Linked DNA regions of Sus scrofa. The protein of the gene in region 1 purifies or fractionates together with the protein of each later gene. This does not show direct contact. Links are inferred from orthologs where the notes say so. Each region holds a gene or a part of one and is shown on either strand. Other genes may lie near its edges.

The links.
Region 2: the proteins of MAPK7 (region 1) and PFDN2 purify together in Homo sapiens (affinity purification with mass spectrometry; 3 studies listed by BioGRID and IntAct, with this or other methods). This does not show direct contact. The link is inferred for Sus scrofa from reciprocal best matches to the Homo sapiens genes MAPK7 and PFDN2.

What each region holds. Positions count from the first base shown.
Region 1 is NC_010454.4:60,144,079-60,151,679, reverse strand, and holds MAPK7 (mitogen-activated protein kinase 7), read left to right. Parts: upstream 1-2,936; 5' UTR 2,937-3,311; coding exon 3,312-3,543; intron 3,544-4,079; coding exon 4,080-4,245; intron 4,246-4,819; coding exon 4,820-5,898; intron 5,899-5,997; coding exon 5,998-6,584; intron 6,585-6,841; coding exon 6,842-6,975; intron 6,976-7,081; coding exon 7,082-7,238; 3' UTR 7,239-7,542; downstream 7,543-7,601. UniProt on the Homo sapiens protein: Plays a role in various cellular processes such as proliferation, differentiation and cell survival. The upstream activator of MAPK7 is the MAPK kinase MAP2K5.
Region 2 is NC_010446.5:89,324,408-89,331,845, forward strand, and holds the start of PFDN2 (prefoldin subunit 2), read left to right. Parts: upstream 1-2,373; 5' UTR 2,374-2,432; coding exon 2,433-2,507; exon of another isoform or gene 2,508-2,650; intron 2,651-7,438. Other genes in the region: NIT1 (nitrilase homolog 1), read right to left, coding at 201-326, 496-629, 850-953, 1,063-1,317, 1,574-1,672, 2,242-2,294. UniProt on the Homo sapiens protein: Binds specifically to cytosolic chaperonin (c-CPN) and transfers target proteins to it. Binds to nascent polypeptide chain and promotes folding in an environment in which there are many competing pathways for nonnative proteins.

The DNA of each region.
Region 1 (7,601 bases):
CTCGGATGTGCCCTGTGCTCCCCCCGCGCCCTCTGCGGGCGACCCTGGACGTGCATGCGGCCCGGAGGGCTGAGCCCGGGTCTGTAAACGGGTGGTCGTTGTGCCCCCGAGGGCTGCCCTTGGCCTCTTCTTCCTCTTCTCCTCCTTTTTTGAGACGTGCCCTCCCAGCCTCCCTGTTTCCTGCTCTTGATAAGATGTAAGAACAGTGGTCCATGAACAGCGATACATGCCGTGGGACCGTCAGCCTTTGCTGGGGAGGCGGTCGGGGAGCCATGGGGACTGGGGTGAGCCGGAGAGCCCCCCCCCTTTCAGTGGTGGGGCTGCTGCCCGGTTACCGTCCACTAACACCTTGTGGAAATGCAGCTTTTGTGGACAGATCTGACTTTTTCCACAAGAAACCAGACATCAGGATTTTGAGGGGATGTCTCCCCCTTGTTAACACGGGCAAACGATTTCAGGCTTTTTATTTATTTATTTATTTATTTATTTATTTATATTTTGGCCTTGCCTGTGCGTGGGGACATTCCTGGGCCAGGGGTGGAACCCAAGCCACAGCAACAACCAGAGCGACAGCAACGCCGGGTCCTCCTGTGGCTCATTCTTGCGCACTGCTCGGGAAAGAATCCCAACTGGTGTCACTTCTAAGGACAGGAATGTGACGTCACACATGAACATCACAAGAGTGGATTTCCCGCTGTGGCGTGGCCGGTTAAGGGATCTGGCGTTGCCACCACTGCGGCTCAGATTCGCTCCCTGGGCCAGGAATGTCCATGTGCCACGGGGTGCAGCCAAAAAAGAAAAAAAAAAAAAATCGCAAGTGCAATACTCTTTAACTTGGCATACTCCCACCTCTGGGTATTTTATACACTCAGAATGAGGTGTTCAGGATAATGTTATCGTCACTTGGTTTGCCATAGCAAAAGTTTTGAAGGACTCTAAATGTCTGAAAAAGAAAAATAAAAAAAGGTTGACACATGCCACAACAAGGAGGAAACTTGAAAATGTTATACCGAGTGAAAGAAGTCAGGCACAGAAGGTCACAAACATAGGATTCCATTGATGGGAAGCATCCAGAATAGGCAAGTCCAGAGACAGGAAATAGATCAGTGGCTTCCAGGGGCCGGGTGAGGGGAAATGAGTGACTGATGGGGTTTTTTGGGGGTGGGGTGACAAAAATGTTGTGAAATCAGGCAGTGGTGATGGTTGCACAACTCTGCGGACACACTAAATCCACATACTGAACTGTACGCAGTATATGTTTTATGGTATGAAAATTGTATCTCAAAAAAGCTGTTAAAGAGTGAGAGATCCCCCTAGCTTTGATACTCAGTGATCATCAGGAAAAGAGTAAATGATTTGTTATCTCTTGTAAAGGGGAGGTGGATAAGAATGTATATTAATGGAGTTCCCGTCATGGTGCAGTGGTTAACGAATCTGACTAGGAACCATGAAGTTGCAGGTTCTATCCCTGGTCTTACTCAGTGGGTTAAGGACCCGGCATTGTCCTGAGCTATGGTGTAGGCCACAGAGGTGGCTCGGATCCTGCGTTGCTGTGACTGTGGTGTAAGCTGGTGGCTACAGCTCCCATTGGACCCCTAGCCTGGGAACCTCCATATGCCACGGGTGCGGCCCTGAGATAGCAAAAAAAAAAAAAAAAAAAAAAAAAAAGAGGGAGAGAGACCAAGATTTTTTTCACTTGAGTATTGTTTGAGTTTTGAGCCATGTGAAACAACTTTTTCTCAAAGTAGTCAGTTGTCAGATGCAGCGAGCTCATAAGGCAAGGCTGAAGAATGTTGGTTAACTGATGACTTTGGAGTTCCCTGGTGTCTCAGCGGGTTAAGGATCCAATGTTGTCACTGATGTAGCTTGGGTTTGATCCCTGGCCTGGGAACTTCCGCATGCCTCAGGCGTGGCTAAAAGAAAAAAAAAAAAAGGTGATTGATGGCTTTTCCAGGACGGAGTCACGGTGGAAGTAAAGCAGCTCATGGCGCATTCAAAAGTGAGTGAGAAACGGAGTTGTTGCCAGAGAATGCCTGTAACTTGTCTACCCATCCCAGCTAAAACATGCAGAGGAAGCACTTGAACGATTCACAGTTTGTCAACCTCTTCTGATACTTTCTGCTTTATTCCCGGATCAGACGGGACGGTCACACAGCCAGCCATCGGGTCCCCTGCGGCCTGGGGCGCCGCATCGGCTCGGGCCCCGCCCTGCCCTCTCCGGGCACAGCTGACCCTGCGGGCCTGTCTGCTGCCCCGCAGCCTCGGCGCGGGAGTCGCTGCACCCAGCCACCCTGCGGAGGGGTCGCGCCCGAGGCCGAGGCCCCGGGCCGCCGGAAGCTGAGCGGAGAGGACCAGCCACCGGAGGACCGGGATCTCTGGTGGGATGTGGCCGACCACCGGCTACCTGGGATGACAGATTCCCAGCGTTGGGTTCCCGGGACCCATCGGGGAAACGGAGGACGTAACCCCAGGGGTGGTAGGTAGGGGCTGACAAGGGAAGAGGCGCCTAAAGGAGGAGGACGTCCCGATGCGGCCGCCAGGGTGGCATCCGGCCACCTCATCCCCCCAAGCTCCCGGGACCAGCCGCGGCAGCTGGGCGCAGATGCCCCTGCCCGTGGGGAGCGCGCGCGCGGGGGGCGGTGCCTCCCAGTCTCGCGGCGCCCGGGGCTGCCAGCGCGCATGCGTGCGAGGCCGGCGCCAGGCCGCAGCGCCCCTGTGGAGCGCCGAGTGCCTGCTGGGCGGCTCCCGCCAGCGGACTGGCCGGCGGTGCGCGCGCTGGTGGAGGCGGGGCTTCCTCGGCAGGGGGGCCCGGATTGGGCTCAGCCAGTGGAAGGGGTGGGTGCCTCCGCCGAGGCCATCCAGGGATTGGCCAGAGCCTGCGGAGGCGTGGTCTCGGGGGGCGGGGCGGGGACCGGCCCGGCAGAATGCGCGCCGCTGAGGTGGTGGTGGAGGCGGCGGTCTAGGGAGCGGGAGGGTCTTCGGGTCCCCCACCCCGACCGGGGGCCGGGAGGCCGGGGACCCCAGGAGGCGGGGGCCCGCGACCTCCAGGGCTCGGGCGGCGTCGGGGTGAGGCGCCGGGCGCCGAGCGCGGCCCGAGAAGAGCGGGCGCCCCGCCCCTCGCTTTCTTCCTGGACCGCGCCTCGCGGCACCTCCCCCACCGCCGACCCCGCGCCCCGCGCGGACCTGAGCCCGGGGCCCGCGCGCGCGGTGGGGGACGCGGGCTGCGCGCATCGCTCGCTCGGGCCGGCCGGGTGCGGGGCCCCTGAGCCCGGCGGCGGGCCCCTCTTCCCCAGCGTTTCCGCGCAGACGCCATGGCCGAGCCCCTGAAGGAGGAAGACGGCGAGGACGGCTCCGGGGAGCCCCCCGGGCCGGTGAAGGCGGAACCCGCCGGCCCCGCCGCCTCCGTGGCGGCCAAGAACCTGGCTCTGCTGAAGGCCCGCTCCTTCGACGTGACCTTCGACGTGGGGGACGAGTACGAGATCATCGAGACCATCGGCAACGGGGCCTACGGGGTGGTGTCTTCCGCGCGCCGCCGCCTCACGGGTGAGCGCCGGCGGGCGGGCCGGGGTGTGCACACTGGGGGCCAGGCGCCCGGTGCCCGCTTGTGCAGGGCCCAGGTCTCTGCAGCCCCGGCGCGGTGGGTGCCAGCGCATCGGTTCGCGTCCTCCTCAGAAAGTCGAGCGTCCGGGTGAGACCAGGGTGCAGATTTCCCGGAACGTGTTCCGGAGCCGAGGCTGGCGCAGGCGGTTGGCGGTGCCATAGCTGGGGGCAGAGATGGGCCGAGCAGGGCGCTAGCACGGCGTTGGAGTCTAGACTCTACCCCTCGCCGGCTGGCAGCGCCGCCCGCAGGGAGCCCCGGCTCCACGTGTCTTCGTGGGCTCTGAGCACCTGCCGGGGAGAGGAGGAGGGGCAGCTGGTGGTGCAGGTGCTGTGCTGAGCCCAGGACCGGGCACACAGTAGGCGCTCGGTGCAGGGAAGCTGTTGTCCCTGCGTCTTAGAAGGGAGGGGGTGAAAGGGGCCGCGCGCCACTCCGAGCTCCGCCAAGGTCCCTCAGGGCATCCGCTTTCCCTGCGCCCCAGGCCAGCAGGTGGCCATCAAGAAGATCCCTAACGCTTTTGACGTGGTGACCAACGCCAAGCGGACCCTCCGGGAGCTGAAGATCCTCAAGCACTTCAAGCACGACAACATCATCGCCATCAAGGACATCCTGAGGCCCACCGTGCCCTACGGCGAGTTCAAGTCTGTGTAAGGAGGGGCGGCGGGAGGCAGAGCGGGCACCTTTTCGGAAGGCTGGGGCCATAGCGCTCAAGTTCTGGACCTTGTGCAAGGCAGGCTGGGCAACCTCCCACCATCCCAAGACCAGGGCTCCCTTGGGGTTTTGCCGGGGCCACCCGAGATTCCTCCGGAAGAGCGTGAGGTAGCTGCGTAGGATGGCAACGCGCGGGCTGGCAGAGGGAAGCCCCGCATTCCGTGTCTACCATGGCTGCTCCCCTAGCAGACATCACTAATCAATCACAGACTACGGAAGCCCCTCCCGTCTCCATCACCGTCTTCCATGAGCCACTACCAGACCTCCCCCGACAAAACCTATTGGCCAGGCGGGTTTAGCCCAAGCCCACCTTTTCTCTGGTGGCGACACTAGTAGTTTCCCTTAAGTTCATGGAAAGTTGTAGGACATCTAGAATCTTCACACCACCTGGGTGGCGCCTACAGCATCTGAGAGTTAGGCCCCGACCCGTCTGGAGCTGGGAGAGCTGGGTGAGGATGGGGCTGGAGCGTCACCAGGACCCCCCGCCCCCCGCCTCTCCCCTGCCCTCAGCTACGTGGTCCTGGACCTGATGGAGAGCGACCTGCACCAGATCATCCACTCCTCGCAGCCGCTGACGCTGGAGCACGTGCGCTACTTCCTGTACCAGCTGCTGCGGGGCCTCAAGTACATGCACTCGGCTCAGGTCATCCACCGCGACCTCAAGCCGTCCAACCTGCTGGTGAATGAGAACTGCGAGCTGAAGATCGGGGACTTTGGCATGGCCCGCGGCCTGTGCACCTCGCCCGCGGAGCACCAGTACTTCATGACCGAGTACGTGGCCACGCGCTGGTACCGCGCCCCCGAGCTCATGCTCTCGCTGCACGAGTACACGCAGGCCATCGACCTGTGGTCCGTGGGCTGCATCTTTGGGGAGATGCTGGCCCGGCGCCAGCTCTTCCCGGGCAAAAACTACGTGCACCAGCTGCAGCTGATCATGATGGTGCTGGGCACCCCGTCGCCGGCCGTGATTCAGGCCGTGGGGGCGGAGCGGGTGCGGGCCTACATCCAGAGCCTGCCGCCTCGCCAGCCCGTGCCCTGGGAGACCGTGTACCCGGGGGCCGACCGCCAGGCCCTCTCCCTTCTGGGCCACATGCTGCGTTTTGAGCCCAGTGCCCGCATCTCAGCCGCTGCCGCCCTCCGTCACCCCTTCCTGGCCAAGTACCACGACCCGGATGACGAGCCCGACTGTGCCCCGCCCTTTGACTTTGCCTTTGACCGTGAAGCCCTCACCCGGGAGCGCATCAAGGAGGCCATTGTGGCCGAGATCGAGGACTTCCACGCGCGGCGAGAGGGCATCCGCCAGCAGATCCGCTTCCAGCCTTCCCTGCAGCCTGTGGCCAGTGAGCCCGGCTGCCCCGACGTTGAGATGCCCAGTCCCTGGGCTCCCAGCGGGGACTGTGCCATGGAGTCCCCTCCGCCGGCCCCACTGCCGTGCACCGGCCCTGCGCCCGACACCATCGATCTGACCCTGCAGCCACCCCCGCCGGCCAGTGAGCCAGCCCCTCCAAAGAGGGAGGGTGCCATCTCGGACAACACCAAGGCCGCCCTCAAGGCCGCCCTGCTCAAGTCCTTGCAGAGCCGGCTCCGAGGTGCGTGGCAGAGGCGGTGGCTGGCTGGGGAGTGGGGCCGAGGGGACCCCCCCCAGCCTGGACGGGCTCTTAGTGTCACCCTGCCCGTCTTCCCCACAGATGGCCCCAGCGCCCCCCTGGAAGCTCCTGAGCCTCGCAAGCCGGTGACAGCCCAGGAGCGCCAGCGCGAGCGGGAGGAGAAGCGGCGGCGGCGGCAGGAGCGAGCCAAGGAGCGGGAAAAGCGGCGGCAGGAGCGGGAGCGCAAGGAGCGGGGAGCCGGGGCCTCGGGGGGCCCCTCCGCCGACCCCTTGGCCGGGCTGGTGCTCAGCGACAATGATCGCAGCCTGCTGGAGCGCTGGACTCGCATGGCCCGGCCCCCGGCCCCCGCTCCAGGGCCGCTGCCAGCCCGGCCTCCCAGCCCACCCTCTGGCCCCGCAGCCCAGCCCGCTGCGCCCCCGCCGCAGCCTGCCTGCCCGGCCCCGGGCCCTGGGCCTGGGCCTGCTCCACTCCAAACCGCTGCCTCCTCCGGCCTCCTGGCCCCGCCGTCGCTGGTGCCTCCCCCTGGGCTGCCCGGCCCCAGCGGCCTGAGCGTTCTGCCTTATTTCCCCTCTGGCCCACCCCCTCCAGACCCCGGGGGCGTCCCTCAACCCTCCACCTCAGAGTCCCCCGACGTCACCCTCGTGACCCAGCAACTGTCCAAGTCACAGGTGAGGGGAGAGGCCTGGCTGTGGGCGCACGCGGATCTGAGCCTAGGGGGAGGGTTTGGGAGGCCCTTGTTCTGTGCGAACCGAGCGGCAGGCGGGGCACCATCCCTCCTGACGGGTCCCCTTGCTCCCAGAAGGAACTCGGGTCTTTGGGGGCACCAGCTGCTCAGCGGGTGTCCAGGCAGTGCTGGGACAGGCGCCCTGCAGACCTGGCAGCTCTGGACGGTGCCTGCGTTGTAAGTTGCCATCGTCCCCTGCAGGTGGAAGACCCCTTGCCCCCCGTGTTCTCGGGCACCCCAAAGGGCAGCGGGGCTGGCTATGGCGTCGGCTTTGACCTGGAGGAATTCCTCAACCAGTCTTTCGACATGGGCGTGGCTGATGGGCCCCAGGACGGGTAAGTGCTGGGCCTCCGCTGGGGCAGGGGGTGCGGCTCCCCGGGCCGGGGGCCCTGCCTGTGGGACAGGCTGACGGCGCCTCTGCCTCCCCACCCTCCGTGTCAGCAGCCAGGCAGACTCGGCCTCGCTCTCGGCCTCCCTGCTTGCCGACTGGCTCGAGGGCCACGGCATGAACCCCGCTGACATCGAGTCCCTACAGCGTGAGATCCAGATGGACTCCCCGATGCTGCTGGCTGACCTGCCCGACCTCCAGGAGCCCTGAGGCCCCTCGTCTGTGCCTTGCTGCCAGGGGCAGACCCAGCTCCAAGACCCCTAGGGACAGTCCCCAGGCCTCCGGGACCCACAGGGACGGTCTCCAGGGCTGGAGCCGAGCCCAGCCAGGAAGCTCAGCTCGGTTCTCCTGCAGGTTCATCTCACACCCACCCTGCAGCCTTAAGCAGCCACCTGAGCCAGCACGAGCCACAGCAGGAGGGGAAGCCTTTATCCCCGTGCGATTCTTCTCAGTATTGTATTTTTATTATTATTATTATTGTTATTATTATTATTACACAGTTTTTGCCATCAGAGTGAAGCCTGTGAAATACAAGGTTCCTTTAGCGTCGTCTGCAGGGCGTGATTTTGGAGC
Region 2 (7,438 bases), on another chromosome or scaffold:
CCATGAGGATGCAGGTTGGATCCCTGGCCTCCCTCAGTGGGTTAAGGATCTGGCGTTGGCATGAGCTGTGGTGTAGGTCACTTGGATCCTGAGTTGCTGTGGTGTAGGCTGGTGGCTACAGCTCTGATAAGACCCCTTGCCTGGGAACCTCCATATGCTTTGGATGCAGCTCTTAATGTTCTGAAGAGGTGTCCTCTTACCTCCCAGTGGGCTGGGCCTGTAACAGATCCAAAAGCTGAAGGGTAGGTAAGTATTTCTGCTCCAGCCTGAACCAATGCCAGAGAGAGTTCAGGGAACCGCATGTCATAGCAGATAGCTAGACCAATCTGGAATGAAGAACAGCCTATTTAGCTCCCCTGCCCTGTTTGTCACAGCATCTGGTCATTCCCCCCTCTTCCCCACTCCCTGTCTCTCAATCCTCTATTACTACTTCAAAGTATTCCTATTCCCCTCCCTCTTGTTTCTCTCCCACCCTCACCCCTTCACAAATCCCACCTTGCCTGCTGGTGTGCTGACCGGAGGCTCAAGACTGGGCCCAGGTATGGTAGAGTTGCTTTCACACATAGGCCCCTGCCCTGGAATCTCAACATCACACAGATGCGTCTTCCTGTAAGTGGCCACTACTGACCCTAGAGTAAGAAGAAGTAAGAGTACTCAGTGCTGGTGCTCTAGAAGACCAGCTTGGTTCCTCTCCTCCCAAGGAGAAGAGAGCTTGTAGGCTAGGAACAGAGGTACAAATGCCCTTAAAACCCTTGCCCAAGGGAACAGTTGAGAAACAAAATTCTGGAGAATCTTAGCTTAGGTAGAAGAGCCTGAGAAGAGGCAGGCTAAAGAGTTACGAGGTCTCACCCGTGTTGTTCAGAATCACATGACAATTGTAGATTTTCTGAGTCTGCTCCCAGTCTTGGCCACGCTCATGGAAACCACCCAAGGACAGCCAGAGTCCACATTCCCTGAGGGGGAGGGGACACTGACAACTCTTCTCAAGTCTCTACCCTCATATCTGGCAATTCCGATATTACCCAAAAAGAAACTACCTCTCCCTCCCCCTTTCCCTGATACCTGGCAAGCTGGGTATATTCTCCCAAAAGTTTCCCACCCAGTGGCTCAGACAGGCGTAGCGTCTCTTCAGGGTCCCTTCCAATGAAGTCAAATGCCTCAGGCAGGAAAGCCAGGCAAGCGCCCAGTCTGGCAGCCTCTCGAACCAGCTCAGCACATGTTTTAAAGTTCTGCTGCTTGTCCGGTGTGGATGTTACCTGGCACACAGCCACGAGGGGCAAGTCCCAGGAGGAAGAGGAAATAGCCATGGATCTGGGTCTGTGAATGGCACAGGCAAGACTCAGATTTCCTAGAGTGGGGAAGCCCGAGTTTAATGATAAGGGGCTTAAAGGGGGAGGCAGGAAAGCTAGACTTCCCTTTAAACCTGCTCTTACAAGGCACAATGATCCATGCAATAAGGACCCACTGATCAAATGTTCTGTGAGTGGCTGGCACCCCAATGTTTCCCAACATCTATTCATTTATTGAGCATCTACTATGTGCCAGGCACTGAGGACACAACAAAACATGTTACCTGGGCTGAGCACAAAGTATTGAGAGTCGAAGTATCCGGAGCCGAGGACCCAAAAGAAGGGACAGGAGCTGGTGAGGAGGCCTGATGATGAAGCCCAGCCTGAAGAAGGTGAGAAATCAGGACACCAACCCCACCATCAAGCAATACATTTCTAAGATCCTTTGGTTTCTCTCTTCATACTGTGAGGCTGAATCTGGGCACCACCGGTAAAAACCCCTAAGTCTTTAAGACACTCGTTAACTATGGTTAATCACGGCTACCGGAAGAGAGCACAAAGTGGGAAAATCGAGGAAAGGGCTCTGCGCAGCATTCGAATATCTCGACTTCCAGTGATCTCACATTAAACTGAAGTCCTTTTTCTCAGCCAAACGTTTCCGCAGTTCAAAAGTCATCCTCGAGATATTTCCTTGATTTTCCCAGCCTCTCTTATTGACTGTGCACCTGCACAGTTTTACTGACTCAAAGCATATTTTCCCCCTTCCACCAGAATCTCTGAGAAGTTCACCCTACCCCACCCCGCCGCCCGTGCCTCACCACCCGCTGTGTGGGCAGAGGGCACTGGCACCCAGATCCCAACCCGCGCCCCGCTCTCCAGTTAACCCATCTGGAGACTCTCTCAGGGGCAGCGTCTCTGTTGCACAAGATAAAGCACCACAGGTGTAATTCACCGCGGCGGGCGGGCTAGGTAGCAGGTCCTACATGAAGGCACGGCCAAAACCATTAACAGGATCCGAACCGAACAGGGGCCTGGAAGAAGAGGAGCCTGGCGCCGGGGGCGAGTGGGCGGTAACTCCGAGACCGGACGTGACGCAAGGCGGGGGCCGAGCTGCGCAGGCCGGAAGCTCAGCAGGCGGTGAAGATGGCGGAGAGCAGCAGTCGCGCCGGCAAGAGCAGCGGGAGCGGCGCGGGGAAGGGGGCGGTGTCAGCCGAGCAGGTGAGGAGCTGGGAATGCGAAGGAGGGCAACCCGGCCGGGTCCGGAGTCGATGCGAGAAGAGGGGAGAAGCCTATGGTTGGTGTACGCCTTTACTATAGTCGCACATTTGCGTGGCCACCCAGAGAGGGGAAGGTCCTTGTAGAAGCTAGCCGAGCCCTTGGGGAGAGATAGGCGGATTGGTAGGTGAAAGCCACGCCCCCTTGGGGGTGTTGGGTGAGCCGAGGGGTGGGAGGGAGGAAGCTCTAGGGAAGCAGAGTCTGGGAGGTTGCACAGGTCTGAGGGAAGAAGGGTGGTCACTTTCCCCACTTTGCCTCCGCACTCTCAAACAGGCTGTGGGTGAGCAAGGCCAGTTCATAAGGAATCCCAGGGAGTTAGTCAACGGGTTGATTGTGTAGTCTGTTACGTGACCCTGAAACCACGTTTAAAACCGTCGTCACTCCGCAGAGCCACGTGACTCACATACGCGAATAGTCTAGTGTTCCATACTATTTTGATTCGGGAGTCATTATTGCACTGAATTTATTTAGAGACCAGAAATCCTTTACTAATCCGAGCTTACATTTCCCCAGTGCCTAGCATCCGGAAACGATTGAAAAATAATCAGAAAGCCCTTTGTTGCTTGGGAATCATGATTTACTAATAGTGGATCTAGTGTTTACTTGGAGTGGGAAGAAATCTGCGTAACAGAAAGGAAAACGTAGTTAAAACAACAGCTTTTTTGGTTATAGGTTCATTTATCAGTTATTTGTTAAACAGTTACTGTAGCAGAGGTATCTGCATAAAGATTTTAAAAATTGACCCGTGCAATCAGAGTTCATAGTCTGGAGGGGAAAATGCTAGTATGAGGTAGAAGAGAGATATACAGCCCTATGGGATTTGGGGGAAGGGGGAAGAGAAAATTCCTCTTAGGGGGAAAAAGGCAAGGGAGAAGGAACCTAATACTTTTTGAGGGTCTGCCGTGTGTTAGACATTCTGCTGGGTATGGGGAAACATAAATGAAATACGGCCTTGTAACCTTGTTTTCAGGTTAGCTCACAGACTCATTTGCAAAAAGAAACCAAACATTAAGCTTTACAGTGTTCTTCACAGGGCTTTTTCTTCTTTTTTAAAATTATAGTTGATTTACAATGTTTTACCAGTTTCTGCTGCACAGCAAAGTGACTCAGTGGTACCTATAGGTACATTCTTTTTAAAAATATTATTTTCCATCATGGTCTATCCCAGGAGATTGCATATATCCATTCTAAATGTAATAGTTTGCATATACTAACCCCAAGCTGCCAGTCTATCCCACTCCCTCCCCTCTCCCCCTTGGCAACCACAGGTCTGTTCTCTGTGTCCTCACTGGGCCTTCTGCTAGAGGAGGGACCCCTAACTAACTAAGCAGGAGATTGAGATTGGGGATTGGGTGGTAAAGGGAAGTGTGGAAAAGTGGGGTGGCTAAGAGTGTAAGGAGTGCAATGGGTTCAGACAGATCTGTGTTTGAATTACATTTCTACCTTTCACTGTTACTTTCAGATTAGAGAATTATGAGTTTATGGATAGTGGACAAAGCCATGGTTGTGGAGGAAATCCTCTAGAGTTTGCACAGAAAGTGAACAAAGAAGTAGAATAAGAGTGAAATCAATAGTTAAGTGATGGTAGAGAAAAAGAAACTCAAAAGAGACTGAAGAATTTTGATAATTGAGTTCTGAGGCCATTCCTTGCTTAATATTCTCTGACCTTTTTGTTCCAGAGAGAACACTGGGTAAAAAAAAATATTATAATTGTCACTGCTGCAAATTTGAGCCACATAGGCAAGATGGAAGCAAATAACACATCAAACTAGGCACTTGTTTTATCTTCTGTTATTTAATTACTGCTATTTGAAGTAGCTGTATTATTGTCAGGATGAGTTTCAGACTTAATTAACTTACTCAGAGTCAGTAACTGGGAGAGCAGGGCTTTTAAATGCAGAACTTGTGAATTAGACAGGCCTATTTTTTCTATTTGTACCATGATCATATTAGAGATATTTGAGCTGAGCCTGAAGGATTGGATAGATTGGAACAGGTGGCAGTAGAAATAGAATATAGAGAATCAAGAAAGGAGGGGAGATCTGGGAAAGCATAGATTGAGATGGAGTGCAGTGACTGATTTGTTTTGCTAAATCATGAGTCAGAAAGATGTCCTTAAAACAAGCTGAGTCATTGCATGACAAAGAATTTAGGACTTTTTAACATAAGCAGTGAGGGTGTCATAGAATGATACATGTTATACTGTTGATTTTTTTTTTTTTTTGTCTGTTTGTTTGCCTTTTAGGGCTGCACCCTTGGCATATGGAAGTTCCCAGGCTAGGGGTCAAATTGGAGTTAAAGCTGTTGGTCCTACACCACAGCCACAGCCATGTCAATGCTGGGTCCCCAACCTGCTGAACAAGGCAGGGATGGAACCCATATCCTCATGAATATTAGTCAGATTTGTTTCCACTGCACCACAGCAGGAACTACTGATTTTTTTCTTATTATGTAAAATAATACACGTTAATGTAGAAAATGTAGAAAACACAAGAAAAATTACAAAATAAGAAATAAATTATCCATGATCCTACTATCCAGAAATAACTATCCTTACCATTTTTGAATGTATTTTTTTTTTTTTTTCTTCCCATTTTTAGCTGTCCTGAAGCACATGGAGCTCCCGGGCCAGGGATCAGATCTGAGCCCCAGTCTAGACCTCAGCTGAAGCTGTGGCAGTGCTGGATCCTTAACCCACTGCACCACCAGGGAACACCCCTCCTTATGTTTTTGTGTATGTGTGAATAGATGGAAGGAGATGGCATGTGTGTATTACAAATTTACATATTTAATTTTATAAAATTAGTATTATACAGTATGTGCTGTGTTGTTATATGCTTTTTTCCCCCCTTTGGCCATGCCAAAAACAAGAAAAACCAAAAAAGTATATCATGAATATTTTTGTGTCATCCAAGTGCTAGAAGAATTAAATTAGCAGTGGTGTGAAAGATGGATTTGGAGAGTCCAAAAATGGGAGATCATTTAGATTATTGCCATATTTCAGACAAGATATGAGCCGAGTCTGCAACCTTCACTACAGCTCACAGCAATGCTGGATCCTTAACCCACTGAGCAAGGCCAGGGATTGAACCCACAACCTCATGGTTCCTAGCTGGAGTTGTTTCTCATGTATCACAAGATGGGAACTCTTCCTTCTTCTAACTTGGAAATGTGGATCTAGAATCCTGAGGAGGCCTGGATTTATAGACAGTTACAATAAAGGCAATTGAAACCACAGAAGTAGCTATGAATACCAGTTGAAACTGTATAGGTAATAAAGGGAGAAGTCCTATGATTATAATCTTAGATCCAGTCTCTATTGTAGGGATGAGAAGAATTCTTTTAGGAAGGAGAAAGGGGGTTGAGAGAGGTAGAATCAGAGAACTGAAGGGTGCTGGATACTAAAGGAGAGTAGAGGGCCTGCATTGTAATGAGCATTTGACATATCATCCTGGTTAAGTTCTCATTGTTACCTCATGGCAGTGGTTCCCAACCTGCTTTGGTTTTGACCCTAGGAGACATTTGGCAATGCTTTTAGCCATTTGTACTTCTGACAAGTAGAGGGAGCTGCTAGAAGGGTAGAAGCCTGGTGGGATGTTGCTAAACATCCTACAGTGCACAGGACAGCCCCCAATAACAAAGAATTATCTGGCCCCAAATATCATACTGATGTTGGGAAACCCTGCCCTGTGGTATATTAGCTCCATTTTATGAGGAAAATGAGGAAAAAAGAGAGATGACTTTGTCATGTAAAAGTAAATGGCAAAACTAGGATTCTAATCCAGGTCATACTCAAAAGTTTTGGGCTCTTACCATGTTACTTAGTTAAAGGAAGAGAGTTTTAAGAAGCAGATTGAAGATTAAGAAAAGGTCTTTGGTGATGCAGTTAGGTAGGAGGCCGTTCATGATCTCTGAGAGGATAGTTTAATAAGTAATAATAGTTGGAGTTCCCGTCGTGCTCACTGGAAATGAATCTGAATAGCATCCATGAAGACAAGGTTCCACCCCGGCCTCGCTCAGTGGGCTAAGGATTGGGCATTGCCATGAGCTGTTGTGTAGGTCAAAGACATGGCTGTATCCTGTGTTGCTGTGGTTGTGGTGGTGGCATAGGCCGGCAGCTACAGCTCTGATTCGACCCCTAGCCTGGGAACCTCCATATACCTTGGGTGTGGCTCTAAAAAGACAAAACAAAACAAAACCCCATAATAACAGTTGAATGACTTAGTATAGACAGTAGGCAATTTAAAGTGGATTGAGAGTGAATGGGGGGTGAGGAAGTGGAGGCAGTGAGTATAGACTAGTCCTAAAAAAGGGTGAAGAAAAGGATGAGAACCATCATTTGATGGAGAAGTAAGATCAAAGAAGTTTCTAGAATTGAGTATATTTGTCAGAAAAGGGAGCACTGAACTGAAAAGAAGATATTTAGTGCAGTTATGATAGCCCAGGAAATACTTTTCCCGATGCATCCAGTCATAATTCTCTATCTCTTCTATTCTTCCATTGAACCGAATAAGAGTGATTATCACGTGGATAAGAAGACCAAAGGACATTTGGGGTATAAATGTAATGATTGTAGATTTTCCCCAAAGTTAACAAAACTATATGGTATCAGTTAAAAAAGAAAGAAAACATAAAAATAAATCAAATAGAAATAATTTTACTTTTATAAGAGATTATTATGTGACAAGCCAGGAATAAACACAAATAGAAAACAGATTCTTAGACAAACCCAAGTGAAAGTAGCAGTTCTACCATTCATGTGTTATTTTATTCACCTCCCCAGCCCTAATAATAAAGTAAAATGGTATTTTATTTATTCCACCAGTCCTGGTTTCCTGATCTATAAATTGAAGGTGCATGTCTTAAAATGTTTT